Linked DNA regions of Stegostoma tigrinum. The protein of the gene in region 3 purifies or fractionates together with the protein of the main gene of each other region. This does not show direct contact. Links are inferred from orthologs where the notes say so. Each region holds a gene or a part of one and is shown on either strand. Other genes may lie near its edges. The genes, in order: ndufs5, OTU domain-containing protein 1 and aifm1.

Region 1 (10,544 bases), on a different chromosome or scaffold from region 3:
TAACACAACATCAAGTCAGGCAAGAATGTGCAGGATTCCTAGTTTCCGGGTCTGTAAAGGTTTTTTTTAGGTCATTGAAGATCCTTAGTGTGACTCTGCAGTGCATCTTGTAGTTGGCACTCCCTGCTGTCACTGAGCAGTACATCTAAGGGCGGTATATCTATGTGATGTGTTATTGGGAAAATGTATCACCTAATCACTGGGCGTGTTAATTTCCAGGGCTCCTTTTAACAACAGGGATACTGTTGTTCTTCAACTCTTTGTAACCATATTGTAATTTGTTTGTCATTTACACATCTATTCTGTAAAGGTATTACAATCTTGTTGCATTTGGTCACATTCTTTCTTTGTATTAACCACTGCTACAATTTGGCATCCTCTACAAGTTTTGAAATTGGATTTCAGAATCCATTGTCCACATGCTTAAACAGGAAATGGCTAGTTCAGACCCAAATCACGCCTAGCTTCTGCCAGTCTGAAGAAATATCTTTAACCTTCATACTGTTTTCTCATTAGCTTACCAACTTCATATACTTACACTGCAGACAAACATCTACCACATTGTACCTTAGCAATCCAAGTGTGTGGCATCCACTGCATTATTGAACTACTCTTATTACTGTTACTCTTAGTTTTAAAGATATCAAGTGGTTAGCACTGCTGCCTCACATTTCCAGGGACCTGGGTTCGATTCCAGTCTCAGGTGACTGTCTGTGTGGAGCTTGCACATTCTCCCCATGTCTGCATGGGTTTCCTCCCACAGTCTAACAATGTACATGCGAGGTGGATTAGCCATGCTAAGTTGCCCTGTGTTCAGGGATGTGTAGATTGAAAGGGGGATGGGTCCGGGTGGATGCTCTGAGGGTCAGTGTGGACTTGTTGGGCCGAATGGTCTGTTTCCACATTGTAGGGATTCTATAACAACATCTATAAAGTGGCCTACGGTTTCCAGAGCTCACTGGGCCCCACTATCTTTCCAAGTTTACCTTAATGAAACCATCCAGCACTGTCTTTCAGTTAATTGATTTTTTAAAAAAAAAATTAACTAAACCACCTCCTACACTTACAGCCTCTTCACCTTTCCAACTCTCAGCAATCAACATTCTGGGCGCTCTCACTCTGTCTCTCTTTAAAACTGCCATATTCCAACACACAAGAGCAGAAATTCCTGGAGAAACTCAGCAGGTCTGGCAACATCTGCTGGAGAGAGAGATCAGAGTTAAAGTTTTGGGCCCAGTGACCCTTCCTCAGACAAGTTGTCCGCAGGTGATAATGGGAACTGCAGATGCTGGAGAATCCAAGATAACAGTGTGGAGCTGGATGAACACAGCAGGCCAAACAGCATCTTAGGAGCACAAAAGCTGATGTTTCCGGTCTGGACCCTTCATCAGAGAGAGGGGGATGGGGGTGAGGGTTCTGGAATAAATAGGGAGAGAGGGGGAGGCGGACCGAAGATGGAGAGAAAAGAAGATAGGTGGAGAGGAGAGTATAGGTGGGTAAGTAGGGAGGGGATAGGTCAGTCCAGGGAAGACGGACAGGTCAAGGAGGTGGGATGAGGTTAGTAGGCAGGAAATGGAGGTGCGGCTTGGAGTGGGAGGAAGGGATGGGTGAGAGGAAGAATAGGTTAGGGAGGCAGAGACAGGCTGGGCTGGTTTTGGAATGTAGTGGGGGGGAAGGGAAGAGCTGGGCTGGTTGTGTGGTGCAGTGGGGGGAGGGGACGAACTGGGCTGGTTTTGGGATGCGGTGGGGGAAGGGGAGATTTTGAAGCTGGTGAAGTCCACATTGATACCATTGGGCTGCAGGGTTCCCAAGCGGAATACGAGTTGCTATTCCTGCAACCTTTGGGTGGCATCATTGTGGCACTGCAGGAGGCCCATGATGGACATGTTATCTCAAGAATGGGAGGGGGAGTTAAAATGGTTCTTGACTGGGCGGTGCAGTTGTTTATTGCAAACTGAGCGGAAGTGTTCTGCAAAGCGGTCCCCAAGTCTCCGCTTGGTTTCCCCAATGTAGAGGAAGCCACACCGGGTACAGTGGATACAGTATACCACATTGGCAGATGTGCAGGTGAACCTCTGCTTAATATGGAAAGTCATCTTGGGGCCTGGGATAGGGGTGAGGGAGGACGTGTGGGGGCAAGTGTAGCACTTCGTGCGGTTGCAGGGGAAGGTGCCGGGTGTAGTGGGGTTGGAGGGCAGTGTGGAGCGAACAAGGGAGTCACAGAGAGAAGAAGTGGGACTGTCCCATGTATCCTATAAAGAGGCAGGCATAGCTGGGGCCCATGTGGGTGCCCATGGCCACCCCCTTTAGCTGTAGGAAGTGGGAGGAATCGAAAGATATTCCCAAACCCCACCTCTTCCTCCGTTACATTGATGACTGTATCGGTGCCACCTCTTGCTCCCCAGGGGAGCTCGAACAGTTCATCTACTTCACCAACACCTTCCACCCCAACCTTCAGTTCACCTGGGCCATCTCCAGCACATCCCTCACCTTCCTGGGCCTCTCAGTCTCCATCTCAGGCAACCAGCTTGTAACTGATGTCCATTTCAAGCCCACCGACTCCCACAGCTACCTAGATTACACCTCCTCCCACCCACCCTCCTGCAAAAATTCCATCCCCTATTCCCAATTCCTCCGCCTCCGCTGCATCTGCTCCCACGATAAGACATTCCACTCCCGCACATCCCAGATGTCCAAGTTCTTCAAGGACCGCAACATCCCCCCCACAGTGATCAAGGACGCCCTTGACCGCGTCGCCCGCATTTCCCGCTACACATCCCTCACACCCTGTCCCCGCCACAACTGCCCAAAGAGGATCCGCCTCGTTCTCACACACCACCCCACCAACCTCTGGATACAACGCCTCATCCTCCGACACTTCCACCGTCTACAATCCGACCCCATTACCCAAGACATTTTTCCATCCCCACCCTTGTCTGCTTTCCGGAGAGACCACTCTCTCAGTGACTCCCTTGTTCGCTCCACACTGCCCTCCAACCCCACCGCACCCGACACCTTCCCCTGCAACCGCACGAAGTGCTACACTTGCCCCCACACCTCCTCCCTCACCCCTATCCCAGGCCCCAAGATGACTTTCCATATTAAGCAGAGGTTCACCTGTACATCTGCCAATGTGGCATATTGTATCCATTGCACCTGGTGTGGCTTTCTCTACATTGGGGAAACCAAGTGGAGGCTTGGGGACCGCTTTGCAGAACACCTCCGCTCAGTTCGCAACAAACAACTGCACCTCCCAGTCGCGAACCATTTTAACTCCCCCTCCCATTCTTTAGATGACATGTCCAGCATGGGCCTCCTGCAGTGCCACAATGATGCCACCCGAAGGTTGCAGGAATAGCAACTCATATTCCGCTTGGGAACCCTGCAGCCATATGGTATCAATGTGGACTTCAGCTTCAAAATCTCCCCTTCCCCCACCGCATCCCAAAACCAGCCCAGTTCGTCCCCTCCCCCCACTGCACCACACAACCAACCCAGCTCTTCCCCTCCACCCACTGCATCCCAAAACCAGTCCAACCTGTCTCTGCCTCCCTAACCGGTTCTTCCTCTCACCCATCCCTTCCTCCCACCCCAAACCGCACCTCCATCTCCTACTAACCTCATCCCACCTCCTTGACCTGTCCGTCTTCCCTGGACTGACCTATCCCCTCCCTACCTCCCCACCTATACTCTCTCCACCTATCTTCTTTACTCTCCATCTTCGGTCTGCCTCCCCCTCTCTCCCTATTTATTCCAGTTCCCTCCCCCCATCCCCCTCTCTGATGAAGGGTCTAGGCCCGAAACGTCAGCTTTTGTGCTCCTGAGATGCTGCTGGGCCTGCTGTGTTCATCCAGCTCCACAGTTTGTTATCTGAAGGTGACTCTGGTTTCTCTCCACAGATACTGCCAGACCCGCAGGGCTTTTCCAGAAATTTCTGTTTTTATTCCCGATTTCCAGCATCCGCCGTTCTTGCGGTTTTCTGCCACATTTCTCACCTTCAGCAAGAACTCTCCTCCAACTGCCGCCACCACCTCCTTGGCTCCCCCAGATCCTGCCACCCTCACCCTGCTTGCGTTACCCCTTCCCCACCGCCCACACCCCTTCCTGCCCTCTGTTCCTTCGATCCTGACCGCCCAGGCCTCTCTCTCACCTCCCAAACGTCCTCTGCTCTTCCGCGCACGCAGCTCCACTTGTCGGCCTGCCGTAAAACAGGAGCGCGATTTACCATTTTCACCCTTCACCGCATGGAGCTCTGCTGCCCCCTGGAGCCGGAGCGCAGTCGCACACTGCGAACTGCTCTGAACCCAAAGTGCGCAAGTCAGTGGATCAAGGAGAAGGTGTCAATTGGTCCCGTGGAGTCGTTATTATCTTTATGATCATAACGTTAGATTTACAGCCATGCTGTGGTTTTGATGTTCATTCATTCATTCGTGTGTACTGTGAAGGAAAGGTTTTTGAATTGTCTGCTGATGCTGCATTCTGAGCTAGATGTGTATTGTAGTTTTTGACAGTGGTGGCTTGCCATTGCCTTCTAATCTTGGGGTGAGGATGTTATTGTCTCGCTGAGTCAGAACATGAATCACATCCATCACCATTGGTGTAATTTTGAAGCATAAGTAAGAACCAGGGGTAGGAGTCAGTCACTGAGCCCGTCACGCTTGTCTGTCATTTCAGTATAATCTCCCCTTGGCCCCAACTCCATTTTCCTCCCTGCTCCTCAAGCCTATTAACCCAAAAACAACTAAAAATCTGTGTCTCCTCCTTAAATTAATCCTGCATCTTGGCATCTACCACATTCTGTAGTAATAAATTCTATAAATGCACGACCCTCTGAGAGAAGAAATTCTTCCTCATCTCTGTTTTAATTCTGCCACCCCCAGCCTAATAGAGCAATTAGGAACTGGAGTAAACAATTCAGCTTTTTGAGCCCACTCCACCAGTAAACATGATCATGGCTGATCTTATCCTTGTCCCAACTCCACTCTCCTCCCTGCTCCCCATAGCCCTTTATACTGTTTTTCATCTGAAACATATCTATTTCTTTCATTAATCTGTTGATTGATATTGCCTCCACTGCACTAGAGACCGTGAATTCCACAGATCCACAACCCTCTCAGGGAAGTAGTTTCTCCCCATCTTAGTTTTGAACCAACCTTCTCTCACTCTACATCTATCGCCTCTTGCTTGAGACTGTCCTACACGGGGGAGCTTCTGATCAATATCTACCTTATCAATCCCCTTTAGCGTTTTATACACCAATCAGACACGACCTCATTGTTCTGAAGTCCAGTGAAGATAAGCCCTAGCTATTCAACTGCTCCTCTTACAATAGCCCTTTCATCCCTGGAATCAATCTGGTGAGCATCGTCAGAACCGTCATGACATCCTTCCTGAAGTAAGGAGACCAAAATTGGACACAATACTCCAGGTTTGGGTTCACCAACAGCTGCCAGCTGAGGTTGAGGTGACCATCTGGGTCAGTGCAGTCTCAGCCATTTCAGAAATGTCCAGCAGTGTGTGAAAAAGGGCGGTAAATTTCTGTCTTCATGCAGGCTGAGTGCTACCATCTTCTCTCTGCCACCTCACCCCTCATTGTATCTCTTCTACTGTACCCACCAAGGTTCGTGCTCTACCTCTTTCGCCATTACACCCAACATTTTTCCTCGCTAGCTCTCACCCAGCCCAACCCCCACAGCAGTAACTCCACATGGCCTCTGCACTGCTTACTGCCCACTCAGTCAGCACGCCTCACTGCTTTCTACCACCTGTAGCCAACAGCTGGAGCATTCAGCTTGCATCTCACTCAATCCCTCCCTTTCTCTCATTACAGAAGAAAACAGCCCATGGTAAGGCAGAAAGAAGCAAAATAGCTGGGTGGTGTGTGACATTCTGTTCTTCATCCCTGCAATACGGAGGATCATGACCATGTCCACTCAAGTGACAAATCGACGCTGCCCAAGGCCTTGCGATTGATATTGAAGACTGCCTTTGACTTATGTGTTGGAAATTCCTGACTGAAGGTTGTCTCCCTTGATTTGAATGAGAACTACTCCTCTTAGACTTCAAGATATGTCCATTTGTTTGAGGCACGCGCAGTATGTTTGGTGCAAACACTACTCGACACTTCCACTCCCTTTACTGATCATTGCTGACCACCATGGCAGACTGCCTGGCCTTGTGTCTGAGTTAAAAGGCAAGGCAAGACAGAAGGCCTGTGAGCCTGTTGGAGCTAACTGAGCGGCAAAGTGCAAAAAGGTGAGGCAATGCAAAGCAGAGATGCTGTCAGCATCCATGTAACCTCACAATATATGAACTCAGAGTATGAGTTAGTAGCCAGCCTTGTTCAATCCACAAACTAGGTGCCTAGTCAAGCATACAGTTTCCTGGCAGTAGTATTCTGATGAAGGCTGGCCGTGTGCTCCAAAGTGTCATGTATACTCAATAAGTATCATGAAAAGTTTATAAGGCACCAATTACAGCGCTAACTTAGATACAAAAGTACCTAGGCATAGCTCCTTTAGTTACAGGATTTTAGACAATACAGAAGTAAAATGTCCCAGCATTATAGAAAGGAGTTCAGGACAACAGACCATGTTGGCACTGAGCTTTCAGCCCACACTGGGCTTGGCTCCACACTGCGCCGGTGACATGTCATGCCAGGAGGCTACTGAAGGAGGCTGGAAAGTTGTCATGCCATGCTGGGAGACTCCCGCACCAGGCTGAGAGATTCTGACTGATCTATCCATCCCTACCACAGAGTGGAGATTAGATTAGATTACATTAGATTAGGTTTCCTACAGTGTGGAAACAGGCCCTTTGGCCCAACAAGTCCACACCGCCCTTTGGAGCGTCCTAACCAGACCCATCCCCCATAACACACACACCCCTGTACACTATGGGCAATTTTGCATGGCCAATCCACCTAACCTGCACATCTTTGGACTGTGGGAGGAAACCCACGCAGACACGGGGAGAACGTGCAAACTCCACACAGACAGTTGCCTGAGGCTGGAATTGAACCCAGGTCCCTGGCGCTGTGAGGCTGCAGTGCTAACCACTGAGCCACCGTGCCACCCCCAAGATGCTTCCCAAAGCACCCGACTGCACTTGACAAATAACTGCATTTTGTTTAAAAATGTGACACTGACCTCTAGGCCTGAAACGTCAGCTTTTGTGCTCCTCTGATGCTGCTTGGCCTGCTGTTTTCATCCAGCTCTAAACTTTGTTGTCTCGGATTCTCCAGCATCTGCAGTTCCCATTATCCCTGACCCTGACCTCCCTTGGGTTACAAGATCCAGTTTCTTTTGTGTAAAACTTTGTCAAGGGTGCAAAGGATGTCATTTGTAACATTCTCAAAATGGTCAAGCAGGATTAAACTTTCTAAATCTGTGCCAGCTGTTACTTATAAAGCTATTAATATCGAGGCGTCTGTCCAGTCTGTTTCTGAATATAGTTCCAGTATTGTTCTTACTGTTGATGTAAGGCTAATGTGGTTGGAAGTACCTGGGTTTGATTTATTTCCTTTCTAAATATAGGCAGTATACTCATCAGTCTACTATTCACATAAATCAATGACATGTCGTTTCAGATAAAGCTTTCAAGGCAACTGTAGTCGCATTTCATACATACCTATTGCTTTAAATACAGAAACCTATTTCTTGAGGCAGAAAACATTAGCTGACAACATTTCTTGTCAATGATTGTTGCCCAGGGATAAAGATTTGACTGGAAATTATCATAGTATGATGGTGGACTCCTCAATATTTTAGCGTGTTCCAGCTTTGAGAGATTTTATTGTCTTCTGTGAATAATCTGACTCAAGACTCTTGCAAAATCAGTTGAATCCAAGCAGAATTGGCCAAACAGTTGCAAAAGATCAGAGAATTTTCAATGTTGGTTACATTTAAAACCACTTACATTAATGTTTTCTGTAACCCACGCCTCAAGATTCAAGGAGCTTGGATTAGGCCTCTATTGCAAAGGCTAGATCAAAATTTCAAAATATGGATGATTCAGGAAAGTTCTTGAAATCTGATCAAATTTCTTCAGTGTACAGGCATGAGTAGTTCTACTTTAGATATTTTTTCTCGTCACAAAATGTGTAATTTACAAAGAGACTGAATGGTGTGCTCTAATCAGATAATGAAAGTGTTCAGTATACTTTTAAAATAATTTTCAGTCATTTTAAATTGGGGACTTACAGCTGGTGGAATGAACACCCTAAAATAATCACTTTGGTGTTAAACCAGTTTTCAGTCAAATGATTAAACTTCACCTGGTTATCACTCTAAAGTAACCTAAGGAATACATCTTATGGAAAAAGTATGATTTCTTTCTTATATGCTGCCTAATTGTGGGGCTTCATTGAAGATCTTTGTTTGTGATTATGCAAATTAATGTTAACAGAAAGTTAAACTGCAACTTGAGCCAATGTAATGTCAAATATATTTTGACTGCAATTTCCCTCCTGCACTTAATGTGGGAAGACTATCCAAATACACTTATCAAGTAAAGTGGAATAAGTAGGCTTTGAAGAGTTTGCCAAACTGTACTCTGTACAGATGAAGATAACATTTGAAACATGGAGCTGGTCTGCATGTTCTTATTGACTCTTGTAGGCAGACTTTAGGTTTTATGTGAATTGGGGTCACATGTCCAAACAAAACAATATTGATAAACTTTAAAAATGAATCTCGATTGCTACAAAATATTATGAGAGTATGAAAAGCATTATGTAAATGTAAGGTCTTTCTCTGGTTCAACTTTTAAATCATTCTTTTCTCAAAGTGATGGTTCTCTTCATTGCACTACAGCATCAGTTGTTAGCATTTTAAAACTTACATCTTATTAATTCCATTTTAATGCAGTCTCAGCTTATCCGGATGCATGGACAATTCCTCCCAATTCCTCTTAAACCAAATGTCATCCAATGAGTGAAAAGCAATAACAGTTCCTTATAACCACCACAATGGGGCAGCAGACAAACACGTTCATGACTACACAAAGTGACAAAACTTTTCATATGAATTTGACAATTGCTTGCTTTTACCGTTTTAAATAATAAATCTAAATTAGGATGGAATCTTATCTTGTGTCTCAGATTGAGTGAATTAATGGATTGTCATAGTGTGTTCTATTTCTCCCAGTTTGTCTACTTCTCTCCTCCAAGGGGCCATACATCTTATCCCACAGAATGCGTTCACCAATTCTGCTCTGCAATCAAATAAAAGGAGGTGTCAGAATGTAGTATCCAGCCATTTGGCTTTTCTTGTCCCCCAGTGCCCTCCCAAAGTGCTACCCTCTTAAAGACAGTCACCTATTCTGTGGCAGAACAAACTGTAGAAAGGGTTTAAACAGCAAAATACTCCCTTACAAACTGGGACCATAACGTCCGTAATTCTTTACAGATGTCAGTCTTTAGCAAATTTGATTCACTCCATATAATATCCACAAACAGGCTGAAGACACTGGATGAAGTAAAGGCTATGGCCCTGACAACTTTCAAAAATAGGACTGAAGATGCGGGCTCCAGAACATAGTGAACTCCTATCCAAGTTGTTCGAGTACAACGACAATGTGGAAAATTTCCCAGAAAAATCTTGTATGCAAAAAACAGAAGAAGTCCAACCAGCCCACTTGCTGCCCCATCAGTCCACTTTTGATCATCAACAGAGTGAAGGGTGCCCCCCTCACTTACATGAACATAGCCAGAGAAGAGGACCAAACAGTCAATAGAAATGACTCTCTGCTTTCCCCTCCTACTGCCCACTGCCTGGGCATGAGTCTGCTTTATATCTTTGTTGTCCTTTTTTTGTTTTCTCTATCTGGAAGTGCACCTACATTCAACTGAATGGCTTTATCACCATCAAATCACCATGACTTTTTTTTTAGATATTAACTGCCACTAGAAAATCACCTGTGCTTCACTTATATGCAAAGCTCACCAGCCAAGACGGGGACAAATAGGGAGAATGGCTTAAGCCAAATAAAAATGGATTTGGGGGGGAAATAACACATGGTATCCCTCGTGGTGCCCACCTCTCTCTAACGGCATCCACAGCAATGGTAGATACCAAGCATAATCGCTTAAGAGGGACAGACAGTCCTTGGAGCAGGCTTCAGGGTATCTGCTTTGGACAGAAGAGATTTGTAGTGGGAGGGTGAGGGTCCAGTTGCTGTGGCCCACACAGGCAACAGCGGCATATGTCACACCAAAATCAAAGTTATTTCTAAGGGGTAGGAGTAACGGGGACAGGGCTTCTAAAATTGGAAATAGGGACTTCAAGCTAAAATTTGGTGTCACGAGGTCTGAGAAAGAATTGATCACGATGGAACTCTGATCAAGTTACAACAGCCATGAGCTCACTTTCACCATTCTCACTGGGATGTTGCAAAAAAACGTTCAAAGCTGAAAATGAAATCCCACTGGGAAAGAAATTAGGAAACACCGAGCTAGGGATTAAACTGAAAAGCAGAACCTCTCAATTATTACCGGACCCATGAGCAAGTTGGCATAGAGTAAATAAAACAAGACAGTTGAATGA
Region 2 (11,276 bases), on a different chromosome or scaffold from region 3:
GACTGTTTTCACACTGTGTTCTATTAATTGTTGATGCAACTTCATTAAAATTTCTGCTGAACCTTCCTAGTTTAATGTTCTCCATAACTTTTTCATGCAACTGAATCCTCCACATCACCAACCCCCACCCCACCCCAAACAAAAAAACTACTACAGCTCATGAGGGGAGAAAAGGTAAATTCTTCAAATCAGGCCTTATTTATTTTATAAAGATTGTATCATTTCCTGAGAGAAATGTAAATCATAATCATTTTTATATGTTTCATACATAGGTATATATCACATTCTCAGTAATTTGCCAGGTATTCTTTTGCCTTTGGCAAGGTAACAGACCATGAGATTTATGGTTTTCATATAACTTAAGTTTGGATCTTGAAGTAGTGGCATATAGGCTTTTCTGTATGGCTGCAGAAATGAATAAGTAACTTGAGATTCTGAAGCTGTGCTATCTTCTGAAGCTTGAGGGGGCTGGTAATCAGAATACTTTTAAAAAATTGCCTTTGACATTTTGCGATTTTAATTTGTTCTTAAAAATGTACAAGTTACAGACCTTTGAGAAAGATCCTGTGACATTCACTGGTTTCCATTGTCAACAGGCCATAGAAATTCACTTTAGGTTGTAATTATCATTTAACAAACATGGTTACTCTATGGGTTCAATTGTACAACTTTAGTTGCAGTGCCTTGCAGCAAAATAAGGCGCTAAAGCTATTCTGCTTTAGTTGAGATAACACAGCATGCCAAGCAGCATCAGAGGTGCAGGAAAGCTGACGTTTCAGGCCTAAATCTTCAGAAAGTTCTATTATCTCTGCTTTAGTTTTATGGCCAATACACAAGGCAAAACAGAGGCACTACTCAGTTACCCATGGCAGTTGTTTTCCCTTTGGCCACAAAGGGCTCCAGTATTTGTTACAAGATTGATCAACATTTCAATGGAGTACATGTTGTCCAGATAGAAGTGTTATTGTTTTGTCATCTCCAAAGGTGGTTCAACTGCACTTACATAGTTGAAGAGACTGTGGAGCCACCTGACAAGCAACGAGCAAGCATTATATGTAATCAGGTTTTGGTTTAACAGCCTAGACAAAGAGCTTGCAGATACTGGGAAATTCTACTGGCATAAACTATTTACATTAATCCATTTCAGGACAAAAAAAAAATCATAGTATTATACAGCACAGAAGACTTGAACTAGCTCTTGAAAAGCTATCCAATGAACTTCACTTGCCTGCACGTTCCCCCTCACCTGTAACACTGCTTTGCAAGCATACACCATTTCCCATTGGTAAACACAACTGAACCTCCTTCCATATGCTTTCAGAGATACTCTCTGAAAGCATAAAATCATAACTTACTTCCTAAAAAGCTACTTATTGTAAGTTAATGGCAAAGTACATGACATTGAGTGCATTCAGACTACAGTATACTTTATAAATGTTGCACTTTATGTACTGGGTTTTGTACAGTAGTTACCAGCTGGTAGTTGAAGTGTTGATTTAATAGTTTCATGCACTACACAATATGCAGAAAAATTACCCCACCAATTTTTAAAATCGGTAGCTGGTCCATGTGGTAGAGATGCTCAGAGTAACCAAGCTGAAGGTTTCTCCTCCATTCTTTAGATTTATTAATAATTAGTGTAGCCTGTTCAAAAATATCATCCAATTTTTAAAAACGTCTTCTGGTTTGAATAATCTAATTACCAACTTTTATTGGCATTGAAACTTGAGGTTTAATTAGAGAGAGTTTAAACTCGGTACACACATATAGATTGAGCTTTGCAGAATATTAAAGTGATATTTTACTGGAGTGTCATAATCAAGGCCCTCTGCTTCTGTTAAGAACAGGAGTATGAAACATTTAGTCTCTGACAGCTGTTTGTGAAATGTTATATAGTTTTAATTCATTCCATGTTGATTAATAACTTCACAATCAATACAAATACAGTAATTGCAAACTGGTTACAAGTTTGACCCTGCAAACCACTTTTGGATGTCAATACATCTTGGACAGCGTATAAAAGTCAGTGAAATGGCAAGAAACAGACAGTAATAACGTTAGTAATTGTAGCTAAACTTTAAAAGATCTAAAATCTCTATTCTAACCAATTAGAAAAATCAAGGTGGCAATTAGCTACCTGCCAGAATACCAAATACAAGAACGTAATGAAGGAGATATGACAATAACAAACCAGCAATTGCAAAAAATTGCAATAAAACATCTTTAAAAAAACCCCATTCAGAATAAAAACTCTCCAAAGCAGAGATTAAACATCAGTTGCTTTCCAAACATCAGAAGATTAAGATTTTAATTAAAAAAAACACATGCTTAATGAGACAATGCAGTCCCATTCAATCCTATGGTCTCTTATCTGCAATAAGCCTGATTTAAAAATTCAGGTGCCCCGCAACCTTCATTAGTTTGAGCTCAAACATTTGGTAAAACATCTAGGTATTCACACATTTAATTAAGGCATTACTTAGAGTTGATTTTATGATCCATTTTAAAGTGCTGTTAGCCCAATCAATGTGTAAGCATATAAATAAATAAAAACCATATTAACAATCTTTACATTTGTACTTCTTACTAGCCTTGCTCATATCAGTTTCATCAGCTTATGCAGGGAATCTTAGGTCCTGATCTGAAATGTTTATGAATAGTACTGCTTGGGAGGAAAGTCATTTAAAAACAGCCATTTTGCTCAATGTACATTTTTGAAAGAGAAGCTGCCATGGACTTTGCTAATTCTTCATCTCGTTTCCTCTGAACATGTGTTTTTGTGCACCAGGTTTCATACTCTGGATTAGGTAGAGACTGATCAAACACAGCGTCGTAGTGTCCATTGCTCAACCAACTCAGCCATATGCTGGATTTTGATTGATCTTCTGGGCCAAGACAATGCACCATAGTGGAAACTGTTGGGCTTTCCAGGCTACCCCCTGTGGTCAAGTATATGTTAATGTTCAGCATTTGACTCATAGTAAGCAGCTCTGGGTAACCAGCCCAGGCTCCATCCTGGGCAGCGTTGATTAAAAACTCCCCAATGTCCCCTTCGATGATGGGGTTAAACTCGTCCAAGTGATCTGCGATGTGATGGACAGTTTCTTCTCTCAGTTCCTTGTGCATGTTCTGGTCACCGTATACAGCTTTACTGACGGCCCTGTACAAACAGTTGCCGTCTGGAATAATATGGAACCGGTATTTTTGTCGCTCCCGCAGGTAACTATTTTGCTTCTCCACTTCTGCCAGGTAACGAGCCACTTTGTCGTTTCTGTCCGCCTTGTTCTCCACCACCAGGTCCACGGTCCTGAAGCCACCGTCGAATTCCCAGGCACTGCTGCTGCTCTGTTCAGCCGCCTCCGTAGCCCGGGACTCGGGACCCGGCCCGACCCAGTCCTGGTACTCCCGCTCGGTGCTGTCACCATCCGGCGGGTTGAAGGCGGTCTCCGGCCCTTCCGAGGCGGGCTGTAAGTCCGTCACTGCCCGCTCTTGCTGGCCATCGCCCAGGATCCGGGCTGAAGCCTTCCGCGATCCTTCCGTCAGGATGTCCTCGGTCCAGACACCCCGTCCCTGATGGCCCGGCACCGGGGGCTCGGCCTGCGTTCTGTCGCTCAAGATCTGGATCGGCACCATCCTCTCGAGAGGCCGCAGGGGAATCCTGGCGGTGGAAGTATAGAGGAGCGAGGCCGGAGACGGAGCCGGGCCCGGGGGCAGCAGTTCGCATGACGAGAAGGCGGGCATGGCGGCGGTGGTGGTAGAGGAGGAGGAGGAGGCGGCAGAGGAAGAGGCGGCGGTGGGCTCAGTCTTCACTCCGAAACTCGGGCCCTCGACAGGCGCTTTCTCCGCCGCTGGAATGGAGACTTTGAAGGCGGTGCCGGGATAGTGCGTTAAGACGCTGCTGTAATAGTGCATGTCGCAGCTGCGGCCCCTTTTATAGCGGCCTCGGGCTGATGATGGTAGTTAAAAATAGCGGCTGTCATCACCAGCTCCCGGTACAGCCTAAAGCCGCGGATACGAGGAGATTGGACACAGGCTCCGACACCTCGTTCACACCCTCCCGCCGGCCGCTCTAATTGCAACTGCGACACTCAGGCCTAACTTGATCCCCATTACGTCAGCGCCGCTCCACTAAAGACGGGAGATTTCTCCGCATAAAAGGTGCATCGTTCAGGCCGAGACCTTTCTGGAAAGCACTCGGCTTTTTTTTCCCCGTTTCCTCCCCTGGTCCCTCCCCTTTTGGGCGGCCTGCACTCGTTTACTGCCAGTCGTTGTCTCAGCATGCTGGAATGTGAGCGCCAGAAACGGGGGGGCGGGGGGGTTGTGGCATAACCGCCCTCCGCCGGACTACCCCGGGTCAATCACCGCCAGTTCCAAATCACTTCAGGCCACTGCCACCCCATCTTCAGTGCTAATCCTCTCCCCTTCAATACTCCCTCTCTCTTAACCCTTCCCCCAGGCTTCTTGTCCTGTTTCCATCCGTTTTTCTGTTCTCTCAACTCCTCCCTTCCTACTACTTCTTCTAGACTTTCAGACCCTCCATTCCCACCTTTTTTCGGTCTCTAAAACCCACCCGCCCCACGCCCGCCCGTGTCTCTCCCTTCCGGTCTACACCAACCAACAGCCATCCATTTTGCTGTCTCCTGCTCCCCCACCTTCCCATTCTCCTCCAGTTTCTTTATGCCATTCACCTCTTATCCAGTTTCCTAACCTAGTAATCTCCTCATGCATCCCACCATCTTTTGCATCCTCTCCTGGTCGCACCCCAACCGAGCACTAATCTCTCCACAAATACCCAACCCCCACTCCTCTTAAAGATCTATCCACCATTTTGCCTCACACTATCCCTCTTCAACACAACTGCTTCATTTCTGCCCTAAGGTGTTAGGTCCAAAGTTGTGGCGACAGGTAATCTGGGAACTTGATGACTGAGGGGCCAATAATGTATCACTATAATAAATAGGATTAAAGGATTGAGGAATAAACAGGAAGTCTGAACCAGCTGAATTCAATGTCAAATCAGGTACAGAAAGAGGAATCCATGCACCACAGGAAATATAGTACATTATTTCCCCCTCCAATTCGATTTTGATTTAGTCCTCTTTCCCCATCCCAAAACACTCACCCCCTCACTTTTTGATGTTAGCATTGCCCTTAACAGGCTTTGCTTGTAAATATTCAATTGGCCGCACTGAGGAAAAAATGTTGTGTCCCTGGAAAAGAGAAATCCAGAAGAAAGGAAAACTGGATGGACAGACAGAAATGACAGGCAGATGGGAAATATAAGATATTTTAGACTATTTTAAAAACAACAGCAATTGGAAAAATTCCTGAGTAATGAGGATCAAAATATTTTATTGTTAATTTCCAAGTCGTAGAGGTTGATTGGCAATCACTAAAATGGTACATTTGTCTTTCTATGAGAACAAGGTATAGAGCTGGATGAACACATCTGGCCAAGCAGCCTCACAGGAGCAGGAAAGCTGACCTTCCAGGCCTAGACCCTTCTTCAGAAATGGGGAAGGGGGTTCTGAAATAAATAAGGAGCGAGGGGGAGGCGGACAGAAAATGGATAGAGGGGAAGATAGGTGGAGAGGAGACAGACTGGTCAAAGAGGTGGGGATAGACCAGTCAGGGTGAATGTAGGTGGGGAGGGAGGGACGAAACAGGTCAGTCCAGGGAGGACGGACAGGTCAAGGGGGTGGGATGAGGTGAGTAAGTAGGAGATGGGGATGGGGATGGGGATGGAGGTGGGCGGGGGGATAGGTGGGAGGAAGGACAAGTTAAGAAGGCTGGTAGAACTGGGCTGGTTTTGGGATGCGGTAGGGGGAGGAAAGATCTTGAAGCTTGTGAAGTCCACATTGATACCACTGGGCTGCAGGGTTCCCAAGCAGAATATGAGTTGCTGTTCCTGCAACCTTTGGGTGGCATCGTCGTGGCACTGCAGGAGGCCCAGGATGGACATGTCGTCTGCGGAATGGGATGGGAAGTTGAAATGGTTCACAACTGGGAGGTGCAGTTGTTTAGTGCAAACCAAGCATAGGTGTTCTGCAAAGCAGTCCCCAAGTCTCCACTTGGTTTCCCCAATGTAGAGGAGGCCACAACTGGAACAGCGAATGCAGTATACCACATTGGCAGATGTGCAGATGAACATCTGCTTCAGGTGGAAAGTCATCTTGGGGCCTGGGATGGGGGTGAGGTGTGGCGGCAGGTGTAGCAATTCTAGCGGTTGCAGGGAAATGTGTCGGGTGTGGTGGAGCTGGAGGGGAATGTGGAGCAGACAAGGGATTCACAGAGAGAGTGGTCCTTCCAGAAGGCAGATAAGGGCTGGGAGGGAAAAATGTCTGGGTTGGATTGCAGATGGCAGAAGTGTCGGAGGATGATGCGTTGGATCCGGTGGTTGGTGTAGTGGTATGTAAGGACGAGGGGGATTCTGTTTTGTTTTTTATTGTGAGGAGGGGTGTGACGGATGAGTTGTGGGAAATGCGGGAGACACGGTCAAGGGCGTTCTCGACCACTGACAGGGGGGAAGCTGCAGTCCTTGAAAAACGAGGTCATTTGAGATGTATGGGAGTGGAATGCCTCATCCTGGGAGCAGATGCAGCGGAGGCGAAGGAATTGGGAATAGAGGATGGCATTTTTTGCAGAAAGGTGGGTTGGAGGAGGTGTATTCTAGATATCTGTGGGAGTCGGTAGGCTTGAAATGGATATCGGTTTCTAGGTGGTTGCTGGAGATGGGGAGAGAGAGGTATTAGAGATGGTCCAAGTGATCTTAAGGTTGGGGTGGAAGGTGTTGGTGAAGTGGATGAACTCACGGGAGCACGACGTGCCGCCAATTGTCATAAATGTAACAGAGGAAGAGAGAGGGATTAGGGCCAGTGTAGGTACGGAAGAGAGATTGTTCCATGTATCCTGCAAAGAGGCAGGCATAGCTTGGTCTCATGTGGGCACCCTTGGCCACCCCCTTTGTCTATAGAAAGTGGGAGGAATTGAAAGAGAAGTTGTTGAGGGTGAGGACGAGTTCGGCTAAACTGTCCTGACTTTAATGTGCAAATCCAGTGATGTTATGAAATTCCTTGTAAGTGGGAGGCATTGCTTTCACTAAGCAATTTTAGGTGATTCACAGTTCAAGGATTATCTATCAGCACAGGTTGCGGGGCCATTTGCTCATTGGTATGCATTATATAAATTTGTCATAACTCAGTTCAGTAATGTATTAAAATGGTGTAAAACACAGGACAAAAACAAAGTTGCTAGTAAAGTTCAGCAGGTCTGGCAGCATCTGTGAAGGAAAATTAGAGTTAATGTTTCGGATCCGGTGACCCTTCCTCAGAACTGACGGTGGCTGGGAAAATGTCAGTTTATATGCAGAATAAAGGGGAGAGGGATGGGGTAGAGAGTGAACAATAGGAAGAGAGAAAAGACCAGTTGGACAGACAAAGGTGAAAATGATCAGTCTGGGAGGGTGAATAGTTGTTAATGGGGACTATTAGTGACCAATAACAGGTAGTATGTAATGGACGGCTGTGTGGTAACAAGGCTTGGTGTGTTGGCATAGGGGCTGGGACACGGGAGAGTTTAGGCCCTAAAATTATTGAACTCAAAAAAGTTCTGAAAACTTAAAATGGAGTACTCCATTTTAAATGGTATCCTTGCACAGGACATCTGGGGCGAAAGCACAAATGGTTAAAACTAGCCATTAAGCCATTTTTCAAGGGGTTATTATGAAATTACAGAAGAATGAAAAGGTCTGATGAAAACATATTGAGAGTCTGGTTTTGAAAGTGATATTTTACAGCATTGTTGTTTCATTGTTGGAGAATTATTAAGTTCACTTTTGCTGGAGCGGCACTTACAAACTTGTCTCAAGTAAGTGAATCCCATCAGTGGTTAAAACAAATCTGTAACAGAAACAGAGCTACAAGAGGATGGGCTGATTTCTGCCTTTAGGTATTAGCTGCTTCTGTAAAATTCAAACAAACTACTACAGATGCTGAAGATCTAAAATCAAAACGAAAGCTCTAGATAAATTCAGCAGGCCTGATAGCATCTGTGGAGAGAGAAACAGAGTCAACATTTTAAGTTTGATATGACTCTTCCTTGGAACTCGATCACTTCTAAATATTTTAGAATTGTTACCTAAAAAACATCAATGGTATATAGCACTTGATTCTTTGGTACAAAGTCATTCAAATAATTCAAGAACAAAAACAAAGTTGCTGGAAAAGCTCAGCAGGTCTGGCAGCATCTGTGAAGGAGAAAACAGTTAACCTTTTCGGTCTGCTGACCCTCCCTCGGAACTGAGGGAGTTCTGAGGAAGGGCCACCGGACCTGAAACGTTAACTCTGTTTTCTCCTTCACAGATGTTGCCAGACCTGCTGAGCTTTTCCAGCAAGATAATAAAGTGTGAAGCTGGATGAACACAGCAGGCCAAGCAGCATCTCAGGAGCACAAAAGCTGACGTTTCAGGCCTAGACCCTTCATAACTGTTTTTGCTCCTGATTTACAGCATTTGCAGTTCTTCTGGTTTTCATTAAAAGAATTGTTCATAACTTCAAATAGGTTAAAGAAAGATGCTCAGGAGTTAAAGCAAATCAATTAGGACATTTACAAGATCACAATGTTTTGGGGCGTTATGTTTAAGTATGGGTAAACATGAAGGGGTCATGTGACCTGTGTTGAAGTATAGTTGACAGGCCTGGGTGATATAGGACTGTTATAGGATCTGTTCTGGGTCCTCCTTCTATTTGTGATTTTTGTAAATGATTTGGATGTAGGAGTGGAAGGGTGGACTAGTAAGCTTGCAGATGATATGAAGGTGAGTCGAATTGTGGATAATGCGGAGGGCTGCTCTAGGTTACAAAAGGACACTGATAGGATGCAGAGTTGGGCTGAGAAGTGGCAGATGGGGTTTAAACCTGAAAAGTGTTTGCCTCAATCTACCCTGATTGAAATGTTCTCAAAAAAACTCTAGTCAGATAGGAGATAATGGGAACTACAGATGCTGGAGAATCCGAGATAACAAAGTGTGGAGCTGGATGAACACAGCAGGCCAAGCAGCATCTTAGGAGCACAAAAGCTGATGTTTCGGGCCTAGACCCTTCATCAGAAAAGGGGGATGGGGAGAGGGTTCTGAAATAAATAGGGAGAGAGGGAGAGACAGATTGCAAATGGAAAGAGGAGAAGATAGATGAACAGGAGAGTATGGGTGGGGAGGTAGGGAGGGAGGTCAGTCTGGAGAGGACGGGCAGGTCAAGGGGGCAGGATGAGGTTAATAGGTAGGAAATGGATGTGCAGCTTGAGGTGGGAGGAGGGGATAAATGAGAGGAAGAACAGGTTAGGGAGACGGGGACAAGCTGAGCTGGTTTTGGGATGCAGTGGGGAGGCGGGGAGATTTTGAAGCTTGTGAAATCCACCCTGATACCATTAGCCTGCAGGGTTCCCAAGCGGAATATGAGTTGCTGTTCCTGCAACATTCGGGTAGCATCATTGTGGCACAATCATCGTCTGACACTTCCATCATCTACAATCCGACCCCACCACCAAAGACATATTTCCATCCCCACCCTCGTCTACTTTCCATAGTGACCACTCTCTCCTGGTCTCCCTTGTCCGCTCCACACTCTCCTGCAACCCCAAAACACCCGGCACTTTCCAATGCAGCTGCAGGAAGTGTTACACTTGCACCCACATCTCATCCCTCACCCACATCCCAAGCCCCCAGATGACTTTCCACATCAAGCAGATGTTCATCTGCACATCTGCCAATGTGGTATACTGCATCCCTGTACCTGTTGTGGCTACCTCTACATTGGGGAAACCAAGCGGAGACTTGGGGACCACTTTGCAGAACACCTATGCTCGGTTCGCACCAAACAAGTACACCTCCCAGTCACGAACCATTTCAACTCCCCCTCGCATTCCTCAGACGACATGTCCATCCTGGACCTCCTGCAGTGCCACAACTATGAAGGATGAGATTTCTGAATACTTGGATGTGCACGGCATCATCAAGGGGAGGTCATGCCTGATAAATTTGTTCGAATTCTTTGAGGAAGTAATGAGCAGGTTGGACCAACGAGAGCCAAGGGATGTTAACTACCTGGGCTTCCAGAAGGCCTTTGACAAGGTGCCGCACAGGAGACTGCTGAGTAAGATAAGGGCCCACGGTTTTAGAGGCCAGGTGCTAGTATGGATAGAAGATTGTTTTCTACCAGAGAGCCAGAGTGTGGGTTTAAAAGGGTCTTTATCAGGATGGCGGCTGGTAACAAGTGGTGTTCCACAAGGGTCAGTGTTGGGATCACAACTTTTCACTTTATACATTACTGATATAGATGAAGGAACTGAGGGCATTCTGGCTAAATTTGCAGACAATACCAGGATAGATAGAGCGATAGGTAGTACTGAAGATGTGGGGAGGATGCAGAAGGATTTGGATGAGTTAGGAGAGTGGACAAAAAAGTGGCAGATGGAATACAACATTGGAAGGTGTGAGATCATGCACCTTGGTAAGAATTGAGGTATGGACTATTTTCTAAATGGGGAGAAAATTCAAAAGTATGAAGTGCAAAGAGACTTGGGATTTCTAGTCCAGCATTCTCTCAAGATAAACTTGCAAGTTGAGTCAGTAATTAGGAAGGCAAATGCAACCTTAGCATTTATTTTGAGACGACATGAATATAAAAGCAGGGATGTACTACTGAGGCTGTGTAAGGCTCTGGGCAGGCCACATTTCAAGTATTGTGCACAGTTTTGGGCCCCATATTTCAGACAAGATATACTGGCCCTTGAGTGGGTTCAGAGGAGGTTCACGAGAACGGTCCCAGGAATGAAAAGCTTAACAAATGAGGAATGTTTGCGAACTCTACATGTATCCTCGATGAAGTTTAGAAGGATGAGGAGGGATTTAATTGAAACTTACAGAATACTGAATGGCCTGAACAGAGTTGGGAAGATGTTTCCATTGGTAGAAGAGAGTAGGACCCAAGCGCACAGCCTTAGAATAAAGGGAAGGCCTTTTAGAGCAGAGATAAGGAGAAACCTCTTCAGCCAGAGAGTGGTAATGGAATTCACTGCCACACAAGGCTGTGGAGGGCAGGTTATTGAGTACATTTGAAATGGAGATACATAGTTTCTTGAATGTCAAGGGAATCAACAATTATAGGGAGAAAGCTGGAGAATGGGCTTGAGAAACGTATCAGCCATGACTGAATGGCGCAGAAGACTTGATGGGCCAAAAAGCCTAACTTCTGCTCCCATGTTTTATGGTCTTACATTGG
Region 3 (10,612 bases):
GGGAAACAGTAAGTTTAATGCCACTTCGTGAAAGGAGGGAGGCAAGATTAAGCAGGTCAGGCCTATTCTCAGTGGAGTTTAGAAGAATGAGAAGTGATCTATTGAATCACAAGATTGTAAGGTCACTGGGCATTGTAGATACTGAGAAAACTGCCCCCATAGAGGAATTGATAAAAGGGGGCATAGTTGCAAAATAATATGTTGTTGATTTAAGATGGAGATCAGGGGGAATTTCATTTCTCAAAGAAACATGATTCTTTTGGAAATATTTACTTAAAGAGCTGAAGGATTACGTGAGAAACACTGATTTTTCAACTAACAACCAATGGTCGTAGACAATAAAGGATGAAACAGCAATTGACACAAAAATCAGATGATCATTGATATTACTTAGTAGTGGAGCAAATTTAAGGTGAATATGGGTCCACCACTTCTCACATTCTTTTGTAATTGTGAGAAAATGTCTAGAATTGATCACTTAACATAAAACTAATGAGCATTTAGCACTGTTTTTGAAAGGGCCCTTGACTGTATCCATCTCATTTCCACATTTCTGCTTCACCCTTTTCCATCCCTCCATGACTCTACGTTTCTCTTGTCCTTACCTTCTACCATTTTCAATAGGTCATTCTCCAGATTTCATGCAATTCCTGTAGCACACCACCACGCTTTTGCTCTGCCCACCATCTTGATCATTATTGCAAAGTGAGTAGTCCTTCTGCAACAGAGATAATGGGAACTGCAGATGCTGGAGAATCCAAGATAACAAAAAGTGTGGAGCTGGATGAACACAGCAGGCCAAGCAGCATCTCAGGAGCACAAAAGCTGACGTTTCAGGCCTCGACCCTTCATCAGACAGGGGGATGGGGGGAGGGTTCTGGAATAAATAGAGAGAGGGGTAGGCGGAATGAAGATGGAGGGAAAACAAAATAGGTGGAGAGGAGACTATAGGTGGGGAGGTGGGGAGGTAGGGAGGGGATAGGTCAGACCAGGGAAGCCGGACAGGTCAAGGAGGTGGGATGAGGTTAGTAGGTAGGAAATGGAGGTGCGGCTTGAGATGGGAGGAAGGGATGGGTGAGAGGAAGAACAGGTTAGGGAGGCAGAGACAGGCTGGGCTGGTTGTGTGATACAGTGGGGGGAGGGGATGAACTGGGCAGGTTGTGGGATGCGGTGGGGGAAGGGGAGATTTTGAAGCTGGTGAAGTCCACATTGATACCATTGGGCTGCAGGGTTCCCAAGTGGAATATGAGTTGCTGTTCCTGCAACCTTCGGGTGGCATCCTTGTGGCACTGCAGGAGGCCCATGATGGACATGTCATCTGAAGAATGGGAGGGGGAGTTAAAATGGTTCACGACTTGGAGGTGCAGTTGTTTATTGCAAACCGAGCGGAGGTGTTCTGCAAAGCTGTTACTGAATCCATTGTACCCGGTATGGTTTCCTCTACATTGGGGAAACCGAGCGGAGGCTTGGGGACCGCTCTGCAGAACACCTCAGCTCGGTTCGCAATAAACAACTGCACCTCCCAGTCGCAAGCCATTTTAACTCCCTCCCATTCTTCAGATGACATGTCCATCATGGGCCGCCTGCAGTGCCACAAGGATGCCACCCGAAGGTTGCAGGAACAGCAACTCATATTCCGCTTGGGAACCCTGCAGCCCAATGGTATCAATGTGGACTTCACAAGCTTCAAAATCTCCCCTTCCCCCACCGCATCCCACAACCAGCCCAGTTCGTCCCCTCCCCCCACTGCATCACACAACCAGCCCAGCTCATCCCCTCCCCCCCACTGCATTCCAAAACCAGCCCAGCCTGTCTCTGCCTCCCTAACCTGTTCTTCCTCTCACCCATCCCTTCCTCCCATCTCAAGCCGCACCTCCATTTCCTACCTAACCTCATCCCACCTCCTTGACCTGTCCGTCTTCCCTGGACTGGCCTATCCCCTCCCTACCTATCTTCTTTTCTCGCCATCTTTGGTCCGCCTTCCCGTCTCTCCCTATTTATTCCAGAACCCTCTCCCCATCCCCTTCTCCGATGAAGGGTCGAGGCCTGAAACGTCAGCTTTTGTGCTCCTGAGATGCTGCTTGGCCTGCTGTGTTCATCCAGCTCCACACTTTGTTATCAGTCCTTCTGCAACAGCTTGATGCACTCTTGACACCATCAACTGTTTCCATGGCACACTAACCAGTGTATACACCAATCCACTAGTGAGAGGAACATACTAAACTGCTTTGCAGGACATCTTTATTCAGTCTGCCAGTGTAATCTTGAGTGCCTGCTTGCCTGCCTTCTTAATTCTCTCCCTCTCCACCCTGAGCCTCTTATATTGATCACATGAAGTTCAAAGGGCATCTCAATGAAGACAATCTCATTTTTTGATTAGACATCTTCAACATGTTGGGCTTAACATTAAATTTAACACTTTCACACCATAAACACTGCCCATAATCATTAATCCAAATATCATGGGCTGGTGATCGTTGGTTTCACTACCACTCTTTTGCCTTGGTCATTGTCTCTTCTGTCGTTTCATCCCACCACAGAGATGTACAATACAGAAAAAGGTTCTTCATCCCATCGCATCTGCCACTTAACCAGTCAAAAACAAACAAACAAACAAACAAACAAACAAACAGTCAGTCACTTCACCATTCTAATCCCATCTTATAGCGCTGAAAAACAGTCATCTGGACTTGAAACATTAGCTTGCTCTCTCTCTGTGGATGCTACCTGGTCCACTGTAACTTCTAGAGTGTTTTTTTGTTTTCAGTACAGGTTCCAGCATCTGCAGTAATTTGCTCCCACTTTCTGGGGATTGGTGTACATACACATCTCAATCCCTCTGATCCTTGGCACTTGCCAGTATCCTCATTCATGTGTTCCCTTGCCTTGTTTATACACCGCACAGTTACCCAGACTGAATTCCATTTGCCCCTGTTTAACCCATTTGACCAGTTTCTTTACATGTAAGGCTATCCTCCTCACCATTTATCACCCCAATTTTTATATTACATAATCTTAATGACCAACCCTCCTACATTCAACTCTAAATCATTTATATAACGTACAAACAGCAAGAGTCCCAAAACCAAACCTTGTTCAGCCCCACTTGACAGATTTCCAGTCAGAAAAACAACACAACTTTCTACTTCCTGCCATTCAGCCGAGCATCCAATTTGCCAAATTTCCTCAGGTGCCATGGGTTCTAAGCTTTGCTACCAATATTCCATGCAGGACCTGATCAAAAGTCTAGCTGGCGTCCAAACATACTGCATCGAAAACACTGCTCTCATCGACACCTTCACAGAAATTGATTTTTGTCCCTACCTTCCTCACTTTCTAGCATCTTCACGTACTTTACGGTTGTATTTCTCGCCGGCTTTGTCGACAAGTTATGGACCTAAATATTCTAAATAAAGGGTCTCGGCCTTCCTGTTCCTCTGATGCTGCTTGGCCCGCCGTGTTCATCCAGCTCTCCACCTTGGTATCTCGGACTTAAACGTTAATTCTGTTTCTGTGACCTGTTGAGCATCTTGCTTTTGATTTAGCTCTCCGGTCTCGGCAGCGATCTGCTTTTGCACCACGTTCAGGAAGATTTTTGCACGGAATGCGACTTCCCGGTTTATAGAGTTGCTCTTGGTGACACTGACCTTGGACCAGTAAAGAAAGTGCCAACTGCCAAGGCGAGACCTATACAGCTTTCGTAAAACTAACGGCTGTACCTGATTTGGAGAGGGGGGGGGTCAAAAAACACGGACACATACCAAAGAATAGTATTTTCTCGGGCAGATCCGCTCGGCCAGTTAATGCTTTGTGAACAATTGCGAGAAGAAGCAGTTCAAGGCACAGCCTGCAACTTCTGGTTTGTGACCTACCAGTGAAAGCCAAGGTGAACAGCAGGGTGCTCAGGGCACATACTTGGACGAACGGGACAAGTAGTGGGGAAGGGAGGGAAAGGGCCCCCAAAAGCAGAAAGTTTATAGCCTGCGGGGTTTCCCACGACCTTGGCCCCGGCGACGAGAGCTAAACCCGCGGCCTACAGCCAGCTGTCCGCCAAACCGTCCCCTCGTCCCACCTCACCTCGTTTCCTGGCGCTACCCCTCACTAGCACCGACGCCGCTCTGCTCAGCGGCAGTAGCGTCTGCCATGTCGCCCTGGTCCGCAGCATGGTTCCGGCTCGATCGGTCAGTCAATCTCGTTACCCCGCCATCATCCACAACACACGCCCCCAACCGCTACAAAGAAAATGCCGTCTCGCACCCCCTCACAAACTTCAGCCGGCCCTCCGTCTCCGCGCAGGCGCCGATCAGACACGTCGGCGGCAGCACCCGCCCGCGCTCTCACCCCCTAGCGGCCGGCAGAGGGAAGATGTCAACAGTCGTCGAGAGGCAGCGGGAGAAGAGAAGAGCTTCCGCTCCCCCCCTTCCCCAAAAGAATTGAGATACTGTCGATTAGAGACGTTGCTGGAAAAGTTTAACAGATCCTGGCAGCGTCTGTGCAGAAGAAAAATCGGAGTGAACGTTTCGGGGTCCGGGATAATAGGAACTGCAGATGCTGGAGAATCCGAGATAACAAAAGCGTAGAGCTGGATGAACACAGCAGACCAAGCAGCATCTCAGGAGCACAAAAGCTGATATTTCAGGCTTAGACCCTTCATCAGAGAGAGGGATGGGGAGAGGGTTCTGAAATAAATAGGGAGAAAGGGGGGAGGCGGATCGCTGGGTCAGTACGGACAGGTCAAGGGGGCGGGATGAGGTTTGTAGGTTGGAAATGGAGGTGTGGCTTGAAGTGGGAGGAGGGGATCGGTGAGAGGAAGAACACGTTCGGCAGGCTCGGACCAGTTGGGCTGGTTTTGGGATGGATTGGGGGGGATGGGACATTTTGAAGCTTGTGAAATCCACATTGATACCATTCGGCTGCAAGGTTCCCAAGCGGAATATGAGGTGCTGTTCCTGCAACGTTATGGCACTGCAGGATGTCATCTAAGGAATGGGAGGGGCAGTTGAAATGGTTTGGGACTGGGACGTGCAGTTGTTTATTACGAACCGAGCGTAGGTGTTATGCAAAGCGGTCCCCAAGCCTCTGCTTGGTTTCCCCAATGTAGAGGAAGCCACACCGGGTACAATGGATACAATATACCACATTGGTGGATGTGCAGGTGAACATCTGCTTGATGTGGAAAGTCATCTTGGGGCCTGGGATAGGGGTGAGAGAGGAGGTGCAGGGGAAAGTGCTGGGTGTGGTGGGGCTGGAGGGGAGTGTGGAGCGGACAAGGGAGTCGCGGAGAGAGTGGTCTCTCCGGAAGGCAGACAAGGGTGGGGTTGGAAAAATGTCTTTAGTGGTGGAGTTGGATTGTAGATGGCGGAAGTGTCGGCGAATGATGCGTTGTATCCGGAGGTTGGTGGGGTGGTATGTGAGGATGAGGGAGATTCTCTTTTGGCACTTATTACCGGGGCGGGGTGTGAGGCATGAAGTGTGGGAAATGCGGATCTCCTTTCTCACCCCCATCCCAGGCCCCAAGATGACTTTCCACATCAAGCAGATGTTGACCTGCACATCCGCCAGTGTGGTATACTGCATCTGCTGTACCCGGTGTGGCTACCCCGCGGAGGCTTGGGGACCGCTTTGCAGAAAACCTCCACTTGGTTCGCAATAGACAACTACATCTCCCAGTCGCAAACCATTTCAACTCCCCCTCCCATTCCTTAGATGACATGTCCATCCTGAGCCTCCTGCAGTGCCACAAGGATGCCACCCGAAGGTTGCAGGAACAGCATCTCATATTACTCTTGGGAACCCTGCAGCCCAATGGTATCGATGTGGATTTCACCAGCTTCAAAATCTCCCCTCCCCCCACTGCATCCCAAAACCAGCCAAGCTCGTCCCTGCCTGCCTAACCTGTTCTTCCTCTCACCCATCCCTTTCTCCCACCTCAAGCTGCACGTCCATTTCCTACCTACTAACCCAATCCCGCCCCCTTGACCTGTCCATCCTCCCTGACTGACCTATCCCCTCCCCATACTCTCCTCTCCACTTGCCTTCTCCTCTATCCATCTTCGGTCCACCTCCCCCTCTCTCCCTAATTATTTCAGAATCCTCTCCCCATCCCCCTTTTCTGATGAAGTGTCTCGGCCCGAAATGTCAGCTTTTGTGCTCCCAAGATGCTGCTTGGCCTGCACAGTTCATCCAGCTCCTCACTTTGTTGTTTCGGGGTCTGGTGTCCCTTTCCTCAGAACGAGTATTTTCCCCAGTGCCGGGAACTGACTGCAATCAGGGGTACTGCAGGGATGAGTGCTTGGACAACCACCTCCCCCCACCTATTCATAATAAACGTTCATGATTTAGATGAGGAAACTAAATGTCCAGGTTTGCAGACAACACGAAGGCTGGGTGGGAGGGGGAACTGTGAGGCGGATACAGAGATGCTGAAGGGTGATTTGGACAAGGTGAACTGAGTGGACAAATGCACAGCAGCTCACGTACAACGTGGGACAATGTGAGGTTATCAACGTTGGTGGCAAAAACAGATTTTCATCTGAATGGAAGATTGGGAAAGTGTGAGGAGCAACCAGATGCCAGTCACTGAAAGTAAGCATGCAGGCATGAGTAGGAAGTGAAGAAAGCAAGTGGTCTGTTGGCCTTCATGGAGAGAAGATTGGAGTACAGGGGCAGAGATCATTTTTCTTTAACATTGTTGACCTAAGAGAAGCTGGTGCATTTGATGTCTGCTTTTATGCCTAACGAGACAGCATCTTTGGCCATTTCCCTGGCAGCATAAGGTGGACAATCCTCTAGATCTCCTTGACTGAGATGAGCTGGTGCTTGTTATACTGAATCACGTGCAAAACCTCTGAGGAGACACACTCAATCATTTGGACAACACGGGAGTTCTTGACTTTCATGGTTTTAGATGAAATTCTGATTGAAAGTCGGCCCAGATCTCTTCTAGTACATGTAAGTTGGGAAAGGGCTGCTTGGTGCTCAGTGGTTAGCACTGTGACCTCACAAAAACTAGGGATCTGCGTTCAATTCCAGCCTCAGGCGACTATCTGTGTGGAGTCTGCACATTCTCCCTGTGCCTGTGTGGGTTTCCTCTGGATACTGTGGTTTCCTTCTACAGTCCAACGATGTGTTGGTTAGGTGGATTGGCCATGCTAAATTGCCCCTAGTGTCCAGGAAAATACGTGCTAAGTGGATTAGCCATGGGAAATGCATATTTACAGAGATAGGATAAGGGTGTGTGTGTGGTTGGATAGCTCTTTGGAGGGTCACTGTTGTTTTGATGGGCCAAATGTCCTGTTTCCACAATGTAGGGATTCTATGATTCTATGAATAGCTTTGTTTCCAAGACTTCCTCCACTTCTTGTATGGTTTCTTAATGACTTTATTACACAACTATTTTGTTGCCTTTCAGGACACAGCACCCTTTGCCACAGCTCTGACTCATGCACGATGTCATATTTCACAGGAGGAGTGATGTCTTGCTGCAGTACAGGGCCTTGGTAAAACCGTATCGGCAGTATTGCATGTAGTTTTGGTCTCCTCTTCTGAAGAAGGATGTTCTGACTATAAAGGTAGTTCTTTGAAGGTTTACCAATATAATTCCATGGATGGGAGGACTGATTTCATGCTGGATGGATTATGACGATATTCACTGGAGTTTGGAAGAATGAGGGGAATCTTATCGGAACCAACACAATTCTAACAGGATTTAGCACAAATGCAAAAATTATGTTACCAATGACTGTCAAGTCTAGCACCAGGAGTCACAGTTTAAGGCCATTTTGGTCTGAAGTGAGGAGAGGTTTCTTCATCCAGAGAGTGGTGAGCTTATGAAATTCTTTGCCACAGGAAACATCTGAGGCCAAAACATTGAAATATTTACAGGAGGATTTAGATATTGTTATTGGGGCTAAAGGAATCAAAAGGTATGGGGAGAAATCAGAAACAGGGTATTGAGTTGGATATCAGATGTGATCATATTGAATGCTGGAGCAGGCTTGAAGGGCTGAAAACCTTACATCAGCTCCTAAAGGGCGGCGATGGCTTAGAGGTATTATCACTGGAGTGTTAATCTAGAGACCCAGATAATGTTCTGGGGACCCAGGTTTGAATCCTGTCATAGCAGATGGTGCAATTTGAATTTAATAAACGTCTGGAATTAAGAATCTAATAAAGAGTGTGAATCCAATGTTGACTGTTGCAGGAAAAAAATTCATTTTTTTCACTAATGTTTTTTAGGGAGGGAAACTGCCATCCTTACCTGACCTACATGTGACTCTAGACCCACAGCAATGTGGTTGCCTCTAAACTGCCTTCTAGGCAATTCAGGATGAGCAATAAATACTGCCTCACCAGCAATGCCCTCATCCTATGAATGAATAAAGAAAAAAATGTTGATGTTCTTCTGTTTCTGTATATTCTAAAAATAAGTTGAAAAGCATGAGTAAAAATGGACTCATTCTGAATGACAATTTTTCACAGAAAGTACTTTATGTTAGTTTATGCCCACAAACACCATTTTTAAAATTCAGTTGTTGGACATGCCCATTGTTGGCTGTTTGACTTTTATTGCCTTCCTGGTTACCCTTGACAGGGTGATTGTGAGCTGTTTTCTTCAATTCATGTACTGTCCATAGACCCAAAATGCCCTTAGGGAATTCCAGGATTTTGACCCAGCAAAAGATGATGCCGAAAGTTTAATGTTACATTTATCAGGACAAATCAGTACACCAAATTTCAATGACCAGATCAATTGAGACTGAAAAAGTTGACTCAGATTGGCCAAAGCACACCATGAAGGTTCAAGGCCTGAATCTATTACTTTTGCTGTCATTTAAGTAAAAAATTGTTTAAATGACTTTGAAATGTGATTATTGCCTTGAAATCATTTATAAGGTCAGAATTGTACAGCACAGAAACAGACCCTTTGGGGTACAAGTTATCCGTTGCTGACCAGATATCCTGAACAAATCTAGTCCCATTTGCCAGCATTTGGCCCATATCCCTAAACCCTTCATATTCATTGACCTGAGTTAGTAGGAACTGCAAGTGCTGGAGAATCTGAGATCACAGGTCTAGGCCCGAAATGTCAGCCTTCCTGCTCCTCAGATGCTGCTTGGCCTGCTGTGTTCATCCAGCTCTACACCTTGTTATCTCATATTCATTGACCTATCCAGATACCTTTTAAATGCTGTAATTGTACCAGCCTCCACTACTTCCTCGGCAAGCTGGTTCTGCACACACTCATCAGCCTTTGTTGAAAAAGTTGCCACTAAGGTCCTTTTGAAATCCTCCTCCTCACGTCAAATCTTCGCCCTCGAGTTTTGTGACTCCACCGCCCTGGGAATAAGACTTTGTCTGTTTACTCTATCGATGCCCCTCGCGATTTTAGAAACATCTATAAGGTCATCCCTCGAGCCTCCGACGCCCCGGGAAAAATAACCGCAGCCGGTTCAACCTCTCCTCAAACCCTCCAGCTCTGGCACGATCCTTGTAAATCTTTTCTATGCATCCATCCAGTATTTTTTGTCACACAAACTGATCTCATCATTGCTCTCTCTGTCTCTCCCTCGATCGTACCCTGGTATTGCTCTTGGTATGGCCATAACATGGAGATATGGTAATACAGTGGTAAAGTTAACAAATGACTAAAACAGTCGTGCAGATTAACTGATAATAAAATGTGAGGCTGGATGAACACAGCAGGCCAAGCAGCATCTCAGGAGCACAAAAGCTGACGTTTCGGGCCAAGACCCTTCATCAGAGAGGGGGATGGGGAGAGAGGGGGAGGTGGACCGAAGATGGAGAGTAAAGAAGATAGGTGGAGAGAGTATAGGTGGGGAGGTAGGGAGGGGATAGGTCAGTCCAGGGAAGACGGACAGGTCAAGGAGGTGGGATGAGGTTAGTAGGTAGATGGGGGTGCGGCTTGGGCTGGGAGGAAGGGATGGGTGAGAGGAAGAACCGGTTAGGGAGGCAGAGACAGGTTGGACTGGTTTTGGGATGCAGTGGGTGGGGGGGAAGAGATGGGCTGGTTGTGTGGTGCAGTGGGGGGAGGGGACAAACTGGGCTGGTTTAGGGATGCAGTAGGGGAAGGGGAGATTTTGAAACTGGTGAAGTCCACATTGATACCATTAGGCTGCAGGGTTCCCAGGCGGAATATGAGTTCCTGTTCCTGCAACCTTCGAGTGGCATCGTTGTGGCAGTGCAGGAGGCCCATGATAGACATGTCATCTAGAGAATGGGAGGGGGAATGGAAATGGTTTGCGACTGGGAGGTGCAGTTGTTTGTTGCGAACTGAGCGGAGGTGTTCTGCAAAGCAGTCTCCAAGCCTCCGCTTGGTTTCCCCAATGTAGAGGAAGCCGCACCGGGTACAATGGATGCAGTATACCACATTGGTAGATGTGCAGGTGAACCTCTGCTTAATGTGGAAAGTCATCTTGGGGCCTGGGATAGGGGTGAGGGAGGAGGTGTGGGGGCAAGTGTAGCATTTCCTGCGGTTGCAGGGGAAGGTGCCGGGTGTGGTGGGGTTGGAGGGCAGTGTGGAGCGAACAAGGGAGTCACAGAGAGAGTGGTCTCTCCGGAAAGCAGACAGGGATGGAAAAATGTCTTGGGT

Evidence for each region.
Region 1: the proteins of aifm1 (region 3) and ndufs5 purify together in Homo sapiens (affinity purification with mass spectrometry; 3 studies listed by BioGRID and IntAct, with this or other methods). This does not show direct contact. The link is inferred for Stegostoma tigrinum from reciprocal best matches to the Homo sapiens genes AIFM1 and NDUFS5.
Region 2: the proteins of aifm1 (region 3) and OTU domain-containing protein 1 purify together in Homo sapiens (affinity purification with mass spectrometry; 3 studies listed by BioGRID, with this or other methods). This does not show direct contact. The link is inferred for Stegostoma tigrinum from reciprocal best matches to the Homo sapiens genes AIFM1 and OTUD1.

The regions. Positions count from the first base shown.
Region 1 is NC_081377.1:19,978,009-19,988,552, reverse strand, and holds the start of ndufs5 (NADH dehydrogenase [ubiquinone] iron-sulfur protein 5), read right to left. Parts: upstream 4,261-10,544; 5' UTR 4,151-4,260; intron 4,128-4,150; exon of another isoform or gene 3,996-4,127; intron 1-3,995. UniProt on the Homo sapiens protein: Accessory subunit of the mitochondrial membrane respiratory chain NADH dehydrogenase (Complex I), that is believed not to be involved in catalysis. Complex I functions in the transfer of electrons from NADH to the respiratory chain.
Region 2 is NC_081355.1:119,874,283-119,885,558, reverse strand, and holds OTU domain-containing protein 1, read right to left. Parts: upstream 4,309-11,276; 5' UTR 3,913-4,308; coding exon 2,683-3,912; 3' UTR 1,878-2,682; downstream 1-1,877. UniProt on the Homo sapiens protein: Deubiquitinating enzyme that specifically hydrolyzes 'Lys-63'-linked polyubiquitin to monoubiquitin.
Region 3 is NC_081368.1:61,398,003-61,408,614, forward strand, and holds the start of aifm1 (apoptosis-inducing factor 1, mitochondrial), read right to left. Parts: upstream 4,314-10,612; 5' UTR 4,166-4,313; coding exon 4,078-4,165; intron 631-4,077; exon of another isoform or gene 616-630; coding exon of another isoform or gene 606-615; intron 1-605. UniProt on the Homo sapiens protein: Functions both as NADH oxidoreductase and as regulator of apoptosis.